2 linked regions of the Canis lupus familiaris genome follow. Each later gene encodes a partner of the first gene's protein in a complex. Links are inferred from orthologs where the notes say so. Each region holds a gene or a part of one and is shown in the gene's direction. Other genes may lie near its edges.

The links. Proteins that work in one complex are often made in the same cells at the same time.
Region 2: MICOS13 (region 1) and CHCHD3 share a complex: the UniProt entries of both Homo sapiens proteins name them as parts of the mitochondrial contact site and cristae organizing system (MICOS) complex. The link is inferred for Canis lupus familiaris from reciprocal best matches to the Homo sapiens genes MICOS13 and CHCHD3.

Annotation. Positions count from the first base shown.
Region 1 is NC_049241.1:54,734,509-54,741,635, forward strand, and holds MICOS13 (MICOS complex subunit MIC13), read left to right. Parts: upstream 1-2,887; 5' UTR 2,888-3,380; coding exon 3,381-3,409; intron 3,410-3,975; coding exon 3,976-4,153; intron 4,154-4,272; coding exon 4,273-4,324; intron 4,325-4,691; coding exon 4,692-4,789; 3' UTR 4,790-4,926; downstream 4,927-7,127. Other genes in the region: HSD11B1L (hydroxysteroid 11-beta-dehydrogenase 1-like protein), read right to left, coding at 563-689, 777-794. UniProt on the Homo sapiens protein: Component of the MICOS complex, a large protein complex of the mitochondrial inner membrane that plays crucial roles in the maintenance of crista junctions, inner membrane architecture, and formation of contact sites to the outer membrane.
Region 2 is NC_049235.1:4,054,561-4,061,878, forward strand, and holds the start of CHCHD3 (MICOS complex subunit MIC19), read left to right. Parts: upstream 1-3,014; 5' UTR 3,015-3,187; coding exon 3,188-3,268; intron 3,269-7,318. UniProt on the Homo sapiens protein: Component of the MICOS complex, a large protein complex of the mitochondrial inner membrane that plays crucial roles in the maintenance of crista junctions, inner membrane architecture, and formation of contact sites to the outer membrane.

The DNA of each region.
Region 1 (7,127 bases):
CTAGGCCTCTGGCGCCCCAGCCCAAAGCCCCCCTCCCCCCACCAACCCCGTGCTTCGGGTTACATTCCACATTATTCCCAAAGCTCTGCCCCGGGGGTGGGGGGGCACATTGGCAGCCCGGGGGCTACAACAAGGGCCCTTCTCTTTGCTCAACACCCGCATTTAAAACTCAGATTTCAGGTCAATCTCGAGATGTCTGGCCCCTCTGGACATCGTGCAAGGTCCGTTGCAAACACTACGTTTTCTTGGAGCTACCATGGGCTAAGAAGCGTCCACCCACCACCCCTCCCTGGAGTTTGGCACAGGCTCTGGACACCACCACCAATCCCATTTTTTGAGGAACACTCCCTGTCTTTCACTGTCTCACTGTATTAACCCAACACCAGAACCCAGGAGAAGGTACTTTTATTGTCTCTGGGGGGCGAATGAGGAACCTAGGCTCAGGGTTAACCTACTTGCTACAGGTCACAGACGAAGCCTGGATCTTTGGGAGTATTTGAACCCAGGCCCGGTTTTCCAGCCACTCCCGCCCCCACCATTCCACTGGAAATCGGCGTCTCACCTTCTGCAGGAAAGCCTCGGTGTGGGCTGTGAGCACCAGGTGGGAGCCCAGGCGAGCGTAGTGATAGGCCAGCTCCTCCCCGACGCCTGCGCTGGCCCCGGTCAGCAGCACCCGGGCTCCCTGGAGGCTGGCTAGCAGTGTGCACCGTGGTCAATGCTGGGGATGCCCCGGATGGGGGGCCCAATTCGTCCCTCCCCCACCTCCAGGCACTCACCAGGGTCAAAGTTGTCATCCCAGTAGTAGGAGAAGAACAGGGCTCCCAGCCCCGTGAGGAGCAGAACCTTCATGGCCGGCTCTGAGTCTGCAGGGTCTGCAGCGGGAGAGAGGATGGCAGGCACAGCCTGGCGCACAGCCTGGCCCACAGCCACCCCCATTTCCCCAGCTGGGCCTTTGTTTGCTGACGATGCTCCCTCCAGGCCCTGCCCTCTCTCCTCCATCTCCGCAGCCAGCACCTGGTCCAGGTCATATAGCTTCCCCTCGCCTCTTCAGGTTGTTCTCCCTCCTAGAAGCAGCCAAATTACATCTTACCTCCCCCTGCTGAAAACCCTCCCCATCTCATTTAGGACAAAAGCCAGGCTCCTTGATGCTCAAAAAGGCCCCACGAGGACCAGCCCCTCTTGCTCTGTTTGCCAAAACAGCGCCTCTTCAGCATTCCTTAGAAGGAGCCAGACTCCATCCTGCCTCAGGGCCTTTGCATTGGCTACTCCCTCTGCCCGAAATGCTCTTCCCAAATATAACCCAATGAGTTGCTCTCTCACTTCTCTGAAGTCAGCACAAAACTGACCTTCTCCAAGGAAAACCCCCTGGCCTCCTTTCCTAAAGTACCTCCTGGTCCCTCTCCCTCCTCTTGCCTCTAAAACTTCCACGCTCTCAGCACTTGCCATGATCTGAAATCATCCTGATGATCTGTTACATGCTCCCTGTCCCTCTCTCCTCTTAGAGCGTCAGCTCCACGAGGCAGGAAGGAAACGGAAACTTGCTTCTGCTTTGTTCGCTGTTGGGTCCTCAGTGGCCCCCAAACTGCCAGACATGGAGCAGATGCTCGACAGACACGAGACTGGCCCTGAGTGATGTGACGAACATTGGAAGTGACAGCTGGGGGGACCCGGAGAGATGACTCTGGAGACACCAGGAAGGAGCCTGTGTCGTCACGGTTAAGATGTGACTTGAGCTGTGGGAGTGGATTTACTTGTTCCGGGGAGAAGGTGAAAGAGAGAAACAGGCCAAGGACTTCACGATTCAGGGGGGCACGAATCTTCCCCCAAGGAAGGCACAGGCCCGTCACATCCTGGGGTTTCTGTTCTCTGAACGCAGTAGGGGTAGAACTGTAGAACTGAGAGATGGTGGGGCTGGGGTGCCCTCAGCTCTGAGATGTCTAGATCCTTCGACCTACTGCCAACTTCCAGCTGCCTCCCCCTGCCTCCCCCACCCTCCCACTCCCTCCTCCGCACCCTATGCTCTCCGGGCAGCCCAAGACATATTTACCCAAAGAAATGTGACTGCCCCTTGCTGCTGCAAACCCTCTCAGGGCTCGCCACTGCCCCTCGTGGAGACCGAGCTCCTCACCCCGGCCCACAATGCGCCGCGGGCCCGGCCCTGGCCCACCTGTCCCTTCTCATCTTGCCGGGTTCCTGTCTGTGACTCTTTCTCAGCTCTCCGAAGAGTGAAGTCCTCGCCCTTCCCCAGTCACGGCAGCCATCCCACCTCTCCCCGCTTTCCAGGGGACGCCCGTGAAGTCCCGCAACTTGACCCTCTTCCACCCTGACCACAGCAGCCACGCGGCGGGGGCGGGGGCGGGGGCGGGCGGCCGGCTGGCCGTCTGGGTGGATGGGTGGGTGGATGGATGGACGGAGCAGCCGGCCGGCGTCCCATGGGGACGGAATTGGGAGAACCAGACCCTCGCAGAACGCACTGGTCCCCTGACCTCACAGAGCCTCAGTTTCCCCTCTGGACAAAAAGGGCGTGCGACGTGCCGCGCGCTCCCAACCTCGTACTCACCCACTCGGGCCTCAGTTTCTCCCGCCGTCCAGCGGGGCTGGGGTCCGGGCCTGGGAGCCCGGCGCGCACCCCTCGGACTCGCACCTCCCTACGCTGCCGGCTCCGCCGGGCCCCCGACCGCGCCCCCTCCCGTAGGGTCCGGGTCACGTGACACCGAGCCCACCTCCGCAGGGGGCGGGGCCTGGCGGGGGAGCGCGGCGCCCGGGCGTTGCCCGGCAACGGCCTTCCGCCCGGCTCGCCCTCGCCCCGCCGTGGTCCTGGGCCCGCCCCCTGGACGAAAGCCCCGCCCCCGAGGCAGGCACGTGACCGAGGGCCCGCCTCCCACGCACAATTCCGACCTCGCGTTGCCGTGACAACCAACCATCTTATTGGCACACTCGCCCTGGGCCGGGGCCCTCGGTCCCCCGCGCGGGCGCGGGTGGATCTCCCGGACTCCGACGCCTTCTTGGGCCACTGTCGGGCCTCAGTCTAGACGCCCGACTCCTCTTTTCCTCGCACGCCGCCGGAGCCGCGCCAGACCGGACTACATCTCCCAGCAGTCTCGGCGGCTGGGCGAGCCGTCCGGCGCCTCACGGGGGTTGGTCCTGACTCCATTTCCCAGGCAGCCTTGCGGCGTCCGGGCTCTGAAGATTACACTTCTCAGAATCCTTTCGCTGGAGGGCTGCGGAGCCTCTCCGGCGTTTTGCGGCCGCCGCGCGACTTCGACTCTCACAGGCCTTTGCGGCTGAGTCGGGCGACTACGTTTCCCAGAGGCCTCTGCGGCGCAGTCACCGGAAGCGGCGGGCGAGTCGAGTGTCCTTGCGCGCGGAGCCGAGCGACCATGGTGCCCCGAGTGTGGTCGCTGATGAGGTGCGTGGGGCGGCGGGGCGGGCTCCGAGCCCCCGAGAAAGCCCCTCCCGTGGGCACCCCCCGCCGGGTTTGCTTCCGGCTGGGTCTTGGAGTTCCGTGGCGTCGGGTCCCGCCTCGGCCTGACCTGAGGGTCAGGAGGGGAGGGGCCTCCCGCGATCCGGGGCCGCAGGTGCCTCCCCTGGACGGCGGGAGTGCCGCCCGCGCTGCGCCAAGACCCCGGGTGCCCGGGGCGACGCGCGACGTCCAAGGAGCGCCCAGGGCCGCGCGGGACCCCGCGAGGCACAAGGCCGGGGGTCTAGGCCTTCCCTCGCCGCGCCGTGTGCGGATCACGAGTGGGCCTCAGTTTACCTGTTAAACGGGGCCGAGGGGCTGTGCTCTGTGCAGTGAGGGGAGCGTTGTGCCAGGCGGTGCCCGGCCGCCTCCTTGTTCTTCCGTGTCCGCTGCCCGGCCTCGCTGTGTCACTCCCCGGACCCAGGCGCCCCGCGTGGGCCAGGAGCCCGGGGCTGCCGGCAGTGCCGGGGAGCTGCTGAGCCGCCGCCCTGCCTCCCCCCCCCCCACCACCGCAGGTTCCTCATCAAGGGCAGCGTGGCCGGGGGTGCGGTCTACCTGGTGTACGACCAGGAGCTGCTGGGCCCAAGCGACAAGAGCCAGGCTGTGCTCCAGAGGGCCGAGGAGGTGGTGCCCCCAGCCATGTACCAGCTCAGCCAGTACGTGTGCGAGCAGACCGGCCTGAAGATGCCCCAGGTAGCCCCCGGCGGCGTGTCCGTGTCCGTGTCCGCGTCCTCCCACGGGCTCGGTCCTGCGAGGCTGGGGCCGCGGGGCCCTTCCCCTTCTCACCTGCCCCTTCTCCCCTCTCTTCCCAGCTCCCAGCCCCTCCAAAATTTAACTTTCACTTCCGTGACACCTGGAACTCAGGTAGGCCCTGGTCCCCGTGCTGGGGGGTGACCCCTGCCACCGCAGCCTCACAACCCTGCCACCGCTTGCTTCCTGGTCACTCCTTCCCGTGGCTCCCCGTGCTGCCCTGCACCCCTGCCACGGATCTAAAGGATCTAAAGAGGGTGGAGATTTCAGGGAGGGGTGAGCCAGAGGGAGCCTACTTTGAGGACAGGTGATCTCAGACAACATGAGGCCCTGCCCCCCCCCCCGCCTCAGTTTCCCCATGTGGGACCGATGGCGCTGGAACTGGTGCCTCTCAAAGCCTTGTGGAGCTCGGGTTTCCGGGGGGCTGGTGTGGGTGGGCGAGACGCGGTGGCTGAAGGCGCTGGGGCCTCCCTCTCCACAGGGATCCTCACGGTGATGTCAGCTCTGTCGGTGGCCCCCTCCAAGGCCCGCGAGTACTCCAGGGACGGCTGGGAATACCTGAAGGAGCGGATCAAGTAGCCTGCCAGAGGCCACCTGCCCCAGTCAGGAACGGGGGCAGGGGCACCAGCGACCTGGAGACTCCAGACTGGGACTGGGACCCCACTCGAGGGCAGCTCCCGGCCTTGCCGGCCCAATAAAGGACTTTGGAAATGCTCCCCGACCCGTGTGCTGGCCCTGGGGGCTGGGGGTGGCCCGGCTGGTGCCCAGAGCAAGGGGCCTGGGCTAGCAGCTCCTCAGGGCCTGACCTGGACCACAGGTGTTGGTTAACCCCTTTGCCGTCCGGACCCCACTGCTGAGTCTCCAACCTGGTGCGGGGCTGGGGGCAGACATTGACCCTGGAGCTCCACGGACAGTGCTCAGGGGCCCAGGAACGGGTTGAGAAAGTGCCGATGCCGGCCTTCCTGGAGGGCTGAGCCCAGGGTGGGGGCTTTGCGGGGCTGGGGGCCTGGGGAGGGGCATGTTCATCTCCCCGCTGTCTGCGTGGCCAGGAGTTCCCGGGGCCGCTCAGTGATCACCGTGTGTAGAGCTGCTCACGAGAGCGACTGCAGTCCCCGCAGGACGGGCCTGTGTCCCCGGGGAGGGGGTCATGACGTGGGGGCTGCAAAAAAGCAGAGATGGCCAGGTGTGGCCCAGGGGCGCCGGGCAGGCAGGCAGGCAGGGCTTCAGGAAGCACCTGGCCACCCCCAAGGCAGCCGCACAGCGAGGACGAGGGTGGGCCGTGTGGTTTCCAGGTGAGGAAAAGGGCGGAGATAGAGGCACCTGTCTGAGGGCACAGGGCAGGCAGGGCTGCGTCTCTTACAGACGGACACACGTACCCCGAGGGCTGCTGGGGCCTCAGGCTGCTCCAGGCCCTGCGGGTCCCTCAGCAGCTCTGAAGAGATGCCTTCCCCAAGCCCTAGGTCTGTTTGCACTGACGCCCCCCCCCCCCCGCCCCCGGCTCTCGGCCTTGTGCCCTTCCATCCACTTCCCAGGTCCAAGTCTGAACATGTCCCTGCCCTCCTCGGAAACCCTCTATGGCTCCCTGCTGCCTTCCCCTTGAGCCCGGACTCCTCCAAGGGGCCCCATTCCCAGAACGCAGTTGGTCTTCACCACTGGCCTTGGCACCCACTCAGCAGGCCATCCTCCCTCCTGACTCTGGCTCATCCTGCCTGCAGCTTAGCATTGGCCTCCTCTGGAAAGCCTCCCGACCCCTTCCTCCCAGCCTGAAGTCAGGCACTCGGCCCAGGCCCCCCGACTGCCCTGTGGGTGTCCTATCAGGGCCTTAGCACTGCGAGGCAAGGTCGCCCTACCTCAGCCTGGGCACAGTAGGTGTTGAACAGCATCCCTGCCTCCACCCCCGAAATGCCAGTGGCACTCTGTCCCCTGGTCCTGACGGCTGCAGACGTCTCCAGTTGCTGCCAGGTGTCTCCTGGGCAGTCATCCCAGCAGACGAGCACTGCCTTGGGAGTTTGCTAGTCTCCCGTGACAAATGACCAGATTCAGGGGCTTAAAAGCACACGTCGACCGGTTCACAGATCTGGAGGCTGGAAGCCCACCACGGGTCTCACGGAGCTAGGAGGACAGGGCTGGCTCTTTCTGGGGACAGTCCGTATCTGGCCTTTTCCAGCTTCTAGAGGCCACCACACTCAGCAGGAGTGCCCCCCCCCATCTTCAAAGCGAGCTGTGGAGCGTGTGGGTGTCCAGCCCCCCCCCCAGCTCTCCTGCCTCCCTATTCCCCTTATAGGACCCCAGTGAGGACACTGGGCCCCAGAAGGGGCTTCTGGCCCTTTAGGTTACCATGCGCACAGGCTTGGGGATAAGGGTGGGTGGGGTGATCTGTGGCCCAGGTGGGAGGGGGTTTTATTTGCTGCCCCTGCCCCCCACCATCTGAAGGCTTGGTCACGTGTCTGTCTCCCCCCACATACACCCATACCCCATTGTGGACCCTGCGGGAACAGGGGCCCAGGCTGCCTTGGTGGTTAGTGTGTTCCCAGCCCCAGACAGGCTTGGACTCCACAGTGATGTGTCAGGGAGGCAGCCGGCCTGTCACCACTGCTCCCCTGGACGGGTGGACCCCAACATGAACACAGACCAGGGCCCACAGAGACGGAGCCTGGTGGACCTGAGGAGCAGCATGGCCCCACGTACGGGCCTTAGCACCACGCTGCTGTCACACCTTACCCCACGGGCATGCTGCTCCACTCAGGAGATGCTACGAGCCACAGACACAGGAAGTAGATGGTGGTGTGGTGGGCGCAGGGCAGTTGGCGTTTGGGAGGATGAAAGGTTCTGCAGGCGGAGGTCAGTGATGGTGGCACAACACTGTACGATACTAATGCCACCAAGCTGTACACCTAAAGTGCTTAAAATGGGAAAT
Region 2 (7,318 bases), on another chromosome or scaffold:
TCACCTAATTTTAGAACATTTTTATCACCTGCCCCTAAAGAAACCTTGTTCCAACCAGAAGTCACTTTCCTTACCCCCTCGTTGTCCCTGGCAAGCCTAATCCGCTTTTTTTTTTTTTCCCATATAAATTTGCTTGTTCTGGATATTTCATTGAAATGGAGTAATACAAGAAGTGGTCTTCTATGTCTGAGTTCTTTCACTTGGCGTAATGTTCTTGAGGTTCATCCATATTATAACATGTATCAGTATTTCATTCCTTTTTATTGTTGAATAATATTCCATTGCCTGGATATGCTACCTTTTGTTTATCCATTTGTAAGTTCATGAGTATTTGAGTTGTTTTTGCTGCTTATATTATAAATGAAATTGTCTTCTTAATTTCATTCTGGGTGTGTTAATTGCTATTATATAGAAATACAATTGATTTTAGTAAGTTGATCTTGTATCCTGCAACCTTGCTGGATTTTTAAAATTAGCTCTAATCATTTTTTAGTGGATTTCTTGGGATTTTTGTATTTATAAGGTCGTGCCATCCAAGAATATAGTTTTCCTTTTTGTCCAATCCAGATACCTTATATTCTTACAGTTTCTGCTCCGACCTCTCTTTAGTTTACCATGATGACATCTCTGACTCAGTATCAAAACTTCTCTCTTTGCTATCTTTTTGTATGCTCTGAATTTTCAAGTTTAAATTTGAGAGAGCAATAGAGAGATAGAGAAAAGGTGTATAGAATCTGAGTGGCTCAAGTGTTAGCTATTATTTTTGGTTAGGTAAAACTTTGCATTCTAGTTCATAGGTCTCTGGCTAATTGATAATGCTTTTGGATTAGATGATCACCAATAAGCTGTGGCCAGAGAAAAAGGGAGACCACAAGTCCTAGGTAGCTCAAGACATTTTCTTTAGAAGGGACTGTAGGCATGCTTGGCCTTGAAATTGATACAGGTAGGTCACTATTGTTATAGTAGGCATTTTTCCAAGAAAAAGATGTATTTTTTTTTTTCAATTCAAGGTTTTTGTTTTGTTTTGTTTTTGGTTTTCTTTCTTTCTCCTCTTTCTTTCTTTCTTTCTTTCTCTTTCTTTCTTTCTTTCTTTCTTTCTTTCTTCTTTTCGGTAATGTTGTTTGGAATGGATTATTAATTCTAAAGGTTTTTTTTTTAGGATTTTATTTATTTATTCATGAGAGACACACAGAGAGAGGCAGAGACACAGGCAGAAGGAGAAGCAGGCTCCATGCAGGGAGCCGCATGTGGAACTCGATCCCGGGACTCCTGAGTTCACGCCCTGAGCCAAAGGCAGACAGATGCTCAACTGCTGAGCTATCCAGGCATTCCATCATAACTGTATTCAATATAATTAGTGATTCCTTCATATCTCTACTTTCTCCTTAAACTCTTGTAATTAGTTATTTTGGTAATAATTAATTGAGCATCTGTTTTATGTAGAACCTCCAGTTTGCTCTATGTATTGGGGTAATAAGCGAGGAGGGTACATATAGGGAGGGAATGTGCCCAAGAAAGACATAATCTTTGGGATTTTTAGTTCCCTGTAAAAGAAAGGTTTAAATATATTATACAATTTGAGAATAAGAACAAAATAACATAATACAATTTGGAAACATATATATTAAAAATAACAAAATTATGAATGGAATAAATTCATTACTCTACTGCTGACCAGGGACACAGAGATGAAAGACACAGTGTTGGCTCTAAAGATTCCTCCAGTAATGAATAGCCGGTTTAAGGGGTGACTGGGTGGCTCCGTTCGAGGAACATGCGGCCCTTGATTTAGGGGTCATGAGTTCCAACCCCATGCTTGCTGTCGAGATTATTTAAATAAAACTTAAAAAAAAATCATTACAAGTTTTCTGAATGCCTTTGTAATAGGAGGATGCCATGCTGTGTCGTGGTTGGTTGCTTTTAATGTTGACAGGGATTCAAGAATGGCACCATCATTAGCCTCATTTCTAAATCTGCCTCTGTAAGACTATAGTCATTTGACTGGAGTTACAGGTCACAGGGTACGTAGCAGATATCGATTTGATTTTTTTTTTAATAGGCTCCATGCCTAGCATGTAGCCCAAGGTCGGACTCAAACTCAGTATCTCGAGCTCAAGAGCCAGATCCTTCACGGACCAAGCCACTGGGGTACCCCGGTAAGAATTCTAAATGTGTGTATGTCACTTAAAAGTTATTTACTGGTCTTGCAGAGGCGAAGTTCTGAACTAGAAACCTTCCAGAATAAATGATCTCAGCTTCGTCTGCTGTGGTTCTGATTCCTCCCCCAACGCCCGCCGCTCGTGGTAGCGGCTGCGCTTTCCTCCGCCTCGTCGCATCCCGGCCTAAGCAGTTGCGGCAACGGACGGGGAAGGAGGCGCGGGGGCGCTTTGCGGTCTGTGTCCGCGCCTGCGGACCTGAACGCCACAGTAGTTAGAACTTCATCTCACGAAAGTCAACAGAACGGTGCGTGGTACACGGTCCTCCTGAGTACGGCCACAGGGCGAGTTTCTGGATTTTTATTGTTTTTGTGGCTCAGGCTAAAATGAATGTTACATTTTGCCTCATGTTTCTAGTGTTAGGAATCTAGGAATGGCTCCGTTAGGACAGAGCATCTCCCTGGGCAGACCGCGAGTTCCCTGAGGACAGACTTTGTACGCCCCACGTCCCCGACCCACGTCTCTGGAGCCACACGTCCAAAACGTAGGTTTCGTTAGAGGGACGGACTTCCTTCCAAGTCGCCCGCCTACAAAGCGCGCGCACAATCCAGACTACATCTCCCAGGATGCCGCGCGCCCCTCGCGCTCTGGGTCCGAGGCAAGAAGGTCCCAGCCGCTACCGCGCCGGACGGGAGACTACAATTCCCAGTACACCCGGGGGCTGCGGAAGCCGGGTCAGACAGCACCTGTTGCCATAGCCTCCGGGGCCGGTCCAACCAATCCGGGCGCCCCCGCCGAATAGAGGCGGGCCGTTCGTGTCTCCGACCAATCGGAGGCACGCTTGTTGCGGCGCGTGACCGGAGGAGGCGGGAGCCGAGGACCGGCGCCTTCTCCTTGCTTGTTGGGGTCGTGGCCTTGCTCCCGCCGCGCGAGGAAGGCGTCGGCCGGTGCGTCCCCGCGCGTGTGTGCGCGTGGGGCCTGAACTCCTCGTGCGCCCGGGCCAGGTCTGTGCGGGGGCAGAAGCAGGAGCCATGGGCGGGGCCGCCAGCACCCGCCGGGTCACCTTCGAGGCGGACGAGAACGAGAACATCACCGTGGTGAAGGGCATCCGGGTGAGTGACCGCGGGCGGGCGGAGGGCCGGCGCCCGGCGCCCGGCCCGGACCCCACACTCGGGCCTGCCCGGGACGGCTCAGCCGGGGTCCCCCCGCCCGGGCCCCCAGTGCTGTCCGGCCCGAAGCCGAGCTGCCTGCCTGCAAGGAAGCCTGAAGTTTCAAGACTCGGGACGTCCATCCAGAGGGACCCCCTGGCCCCGTGCCAGGCGCTGAGCTGGGCGCTGGGGCGGGTGGGGGCAGCGCCACGCGGAAGCCGACTGCCCCGCGCGCGGCTCCAGTCCGGGCTTGGCCGAGGTGCCCACGAGCCGGGGGGCTTTATCCGAAGCCCCGGCCTTGCCTTCTGTGAAGTGGGGCTTGTCTGAACTCCTCCTGGGTTCAGGATCGCGACCTCATTTTGCGCCGGCCCCCGTTACCCTTCTCGGTGCGTTGGCGCTTCGCGGAAAGCCCGCTCTCCTCTCCTTAGCGCCCCCGTCTCGTGCCCCCGGTTGCCGCACACGCACATGCACACGCACACGCACACGCACACGCCGCAGACTTGGGGCCTGCCCGGGTGCCTTCCAGCTCTGGGCTTTCGCTTGACGCCTCCTCTTTGCCTCCTCTGTGGACGAGGCCCGGTTGCTCCAGGACAGGCGCCTGCCAGGCAGCCGGACTAGCCTGAGCTAGGGTTGCAGTGTTGGGAGACCGCCGCGCCGGTGGGGTCCGGTGAGTCCCCAGCCGCACGTCGCCGGGAAAGCCTTAACGCCCCCCGCGGGTGCTCGGCGAGCAAGCGGAACACTTGGTTTCCCCCCGGGGTGTCGGTACACCGGCCCTACCTGCACTGAACGCTCTTCGCTGCACCTGAACCGGGAGCCTCTCAGTGTTGAGAGTATTGCTCGAACCTGGTCAATGAAGCAGTTTCACTTCTGGAAGTTCCATTATCATTTGTTAAGTTTTCCTTCCTTGTTATCACACAACCCGCATAAGGGAATGAAATGTGTGAATTGTGTTTAGTTCTGTTACCAGGAAATAAAACTTCTTAAATACTTAAAATGTTTAAGAACTTTTACTCTGAAACTGTTACCGTGAGAAGAATTTATTAAAGCTTTCTCTATAGAAGCTCAAACTGTTGACCTCAGTTTTTGGTCTGTGACCACCATTCCTTGATATCAGTTAATGACAGTACCACGTTTTGTAACAGAATGTCTGAGGCTGCATGGCATTGTTGTGGTTTAGTTGGTACTCCTTGGAGTAAAATAAAAACTACTATAAACTGCGTTTTATGCAGAGATTTGTTTAACCTTGCCTTAGGCTCTGACTTTTCCATACCTAAGGGTGAAAATGAAAAGTAAGGGAGAGCAAAGCAAATTCTGGGTGAGAAGTCACTGGCTAGAACAATAGTTAAATCCATGTTCTCACGCCCTGCTATAGACAGACACAGTGATGAGAGCAAACAAAATGAAAAGAAAATTTGGACACAGCACAGACCTTCATATCAAATATTAGGTAAGGTTAGCTACTATAAGGATGATAATAGGGTAGATATTAGCCTAGAATGAGGAGATTGTTTAAAAAACTTTTTCTCCACTTTTTTTAAGTAAAAGAAACTATGTCTTTTGAACACACGACTTGACAGAAGTATTCTTTGTTTTTGTCCTTTCTCACAGAGGGCATTGTATTTATGATTCAAGCACACACCATGCCCCCTTTGACCTCTGTGCTTTGCTTCACTTCAGGATACACCCTTCACCTGGAATGCCCTTGCAGTGGTCTCCCACTTGCTTCAAATCCTTCTTTTTCAAGGTTGATTTGCATCCCTGTGCTTCAGTTTGCTCATCTGCAAAATGATGGGGCTTGAGTACATCTCTGAGACCTCTGATCTTTTCTGGTTCTGAAATTCTGTGAGTCTAGTGGCACTATAAGTTTCTTGTAGCCATACTCAAGCCCATTGCAATTTCCTCTAAAAATGGCACGCTCTTGAATTGTTGAGTACTTGGGGGTCATCCTGAGTTCTTTGGGGTCTTGTTCAAAAAAGCATCAGCTTGGAGTTAAACAGACCTTGGTGTGAGTCTCAGATTAGATGTTTATCATTCTGCGGCTTTGGACAAGTCACTTCTTCATATTTGGTAAGAAGATGGGATAAGGTATTTAAAGCACGTGGCACGTTGTAGCTTTTTAATAAAAAGCAGCTGTTAGGTAAGGTTCCTTCACATCTAATATTTGAAGGTTCTCTGGAAGTGCTGTGTAGTTAGAATAGTGGCCAGAGCACTTGCTTTGGAAGCTGGCCAACCTGGCTTTAGTTCTAGCTCTGCCTCTCACTAGGCTCAGTGGCCCTGGACAAGTCACTTTGATTAGGTTTCCTTGTTCAGTATGTTTAGATACTGCAGCCTGCTTGTGGTATACAAGCATTTAGTGTTTTGACAATGCTTAGTACTTACATGAGTAGTAGGTATTATTAGAGTTGTTCAAGGGAATGGGTATGTAAATTTACATTGATCTTAAAATGATTAAATAAGAGCATATTGTGCTCCCACAGGCATACCTAAAGATGTGGACTGAGAAAAAGGAGTCCTTAGTTCTGCAGCTGATTGCCTGTGTGATTTCCCTTTAGGCATTTTGTATAAATTTTTCAGCCGATCTTTGTATTTTTCCTAAAATACACCCTCTTGCCTTGCCTTGCCTTCCTCTCAAAACAGTCCTCTTGTTTCCCTCTGAGGCATGGGGAAGGATAAGCAACAATCTTGGTATCATAAGCGAGCCACTGTTTTTAGCTCAGTTGACTAAAGCGAGGTGCCGATGAGGCCCAAGCTTCAGCGTTGAACTGCAGATAGGTTCGTTCAACTTAGCTGAAGAAAACATTCCAGATTTGTCCAATTGTCTAATATTTATGTCATCACTCATAAGAAATGAGAGCGTAGCAGCAATTCACAGACTAAGTCACTGCTGGAAAACCAATTCTGCGTTCCACTGATAAGGATAGTAATTTCATCTTCATTTATCTTAATATAGGAAGAGTAACATTTAGTAAGCAACATAAGGCTTTCAGTAACTAGGCTGTGTTTATTAATAGATAATGTTTTCCCAGATTTTTTTTTTTTTTTTTTTTTTTTGCTGAAAATGTCCTCAATGGTTAGCAATTAAAGGGCCTACTTAACAATTTTAAGTTTAAAGTTTATTCTCACCTACCAGGTGTTATTTTCATGGTGTTTATTTCCTTTATCCTTCACAGTTGATAGCTTTCCCTCCACTTGCATAAAATCACTCATATTCTCATACCTAATTCCAGCTTCAAACCTAAAACAACTCATGGGTTGGATGAAAGGCCACCCTCTTGCCTTGCCTTCTTCTCCAAGTTTAAAATCATTTCTAGGGATAGAAAGACCAGGCATTTTCATTACTCATATTACATGTTCTTAATAGGATTTTTCTGAGCACCTGCTGTGCCTGTTTGGAAGGTATGCTTACCATTCAGTCTTTTCACTGGTTTATCTAAAACATCATAGCTGTGAGTGAACTCTTCCAGAGCAAATGTCAACTTCAATGAGTATCATTTTCAAAGTAATATTTATCAGGCTTTCCAGGCATCAAGGAAGCTCTGCAACTGGCCTTGAAGTTGCAAGCTGAAATTCATAGGAGCCATACATGCATGCAGTTGTATGGATCCTCACATGGGATGCGACTGATGCTTTGGGGAAGTATTGACAGTTGGGAGCCCCAAAATGAAAAGATTATTTAATGTGAGATATTGTTGAGGATTCTGGAGAGTGTATATTAACAGAGGCAATAAATCGGTCAGTCACTGGGAGTGTTGAGGGATGCTGTTGAGGTAATTTAGCTAACTGGTGGATGATTGGTTCCTTTCCAGTTTAGATTCTGTGACTCTTGGGCAGAGTACCCTGTTTAGCTTTATAGAACTTTTTTTTTTTTTTTTTTTTTTAAAGCTTTCCAAGAGGGGTGCCTGGGTGTCTCAGTGAACCGTCTGTCTTTGGCTCAGGTCATGATCCTGAAGTCCTGGGATTGAGCCCTGTGTTGGGCTCCCTGCTCATCTGGGAGTCTGCTTGTCCCACTCCCTC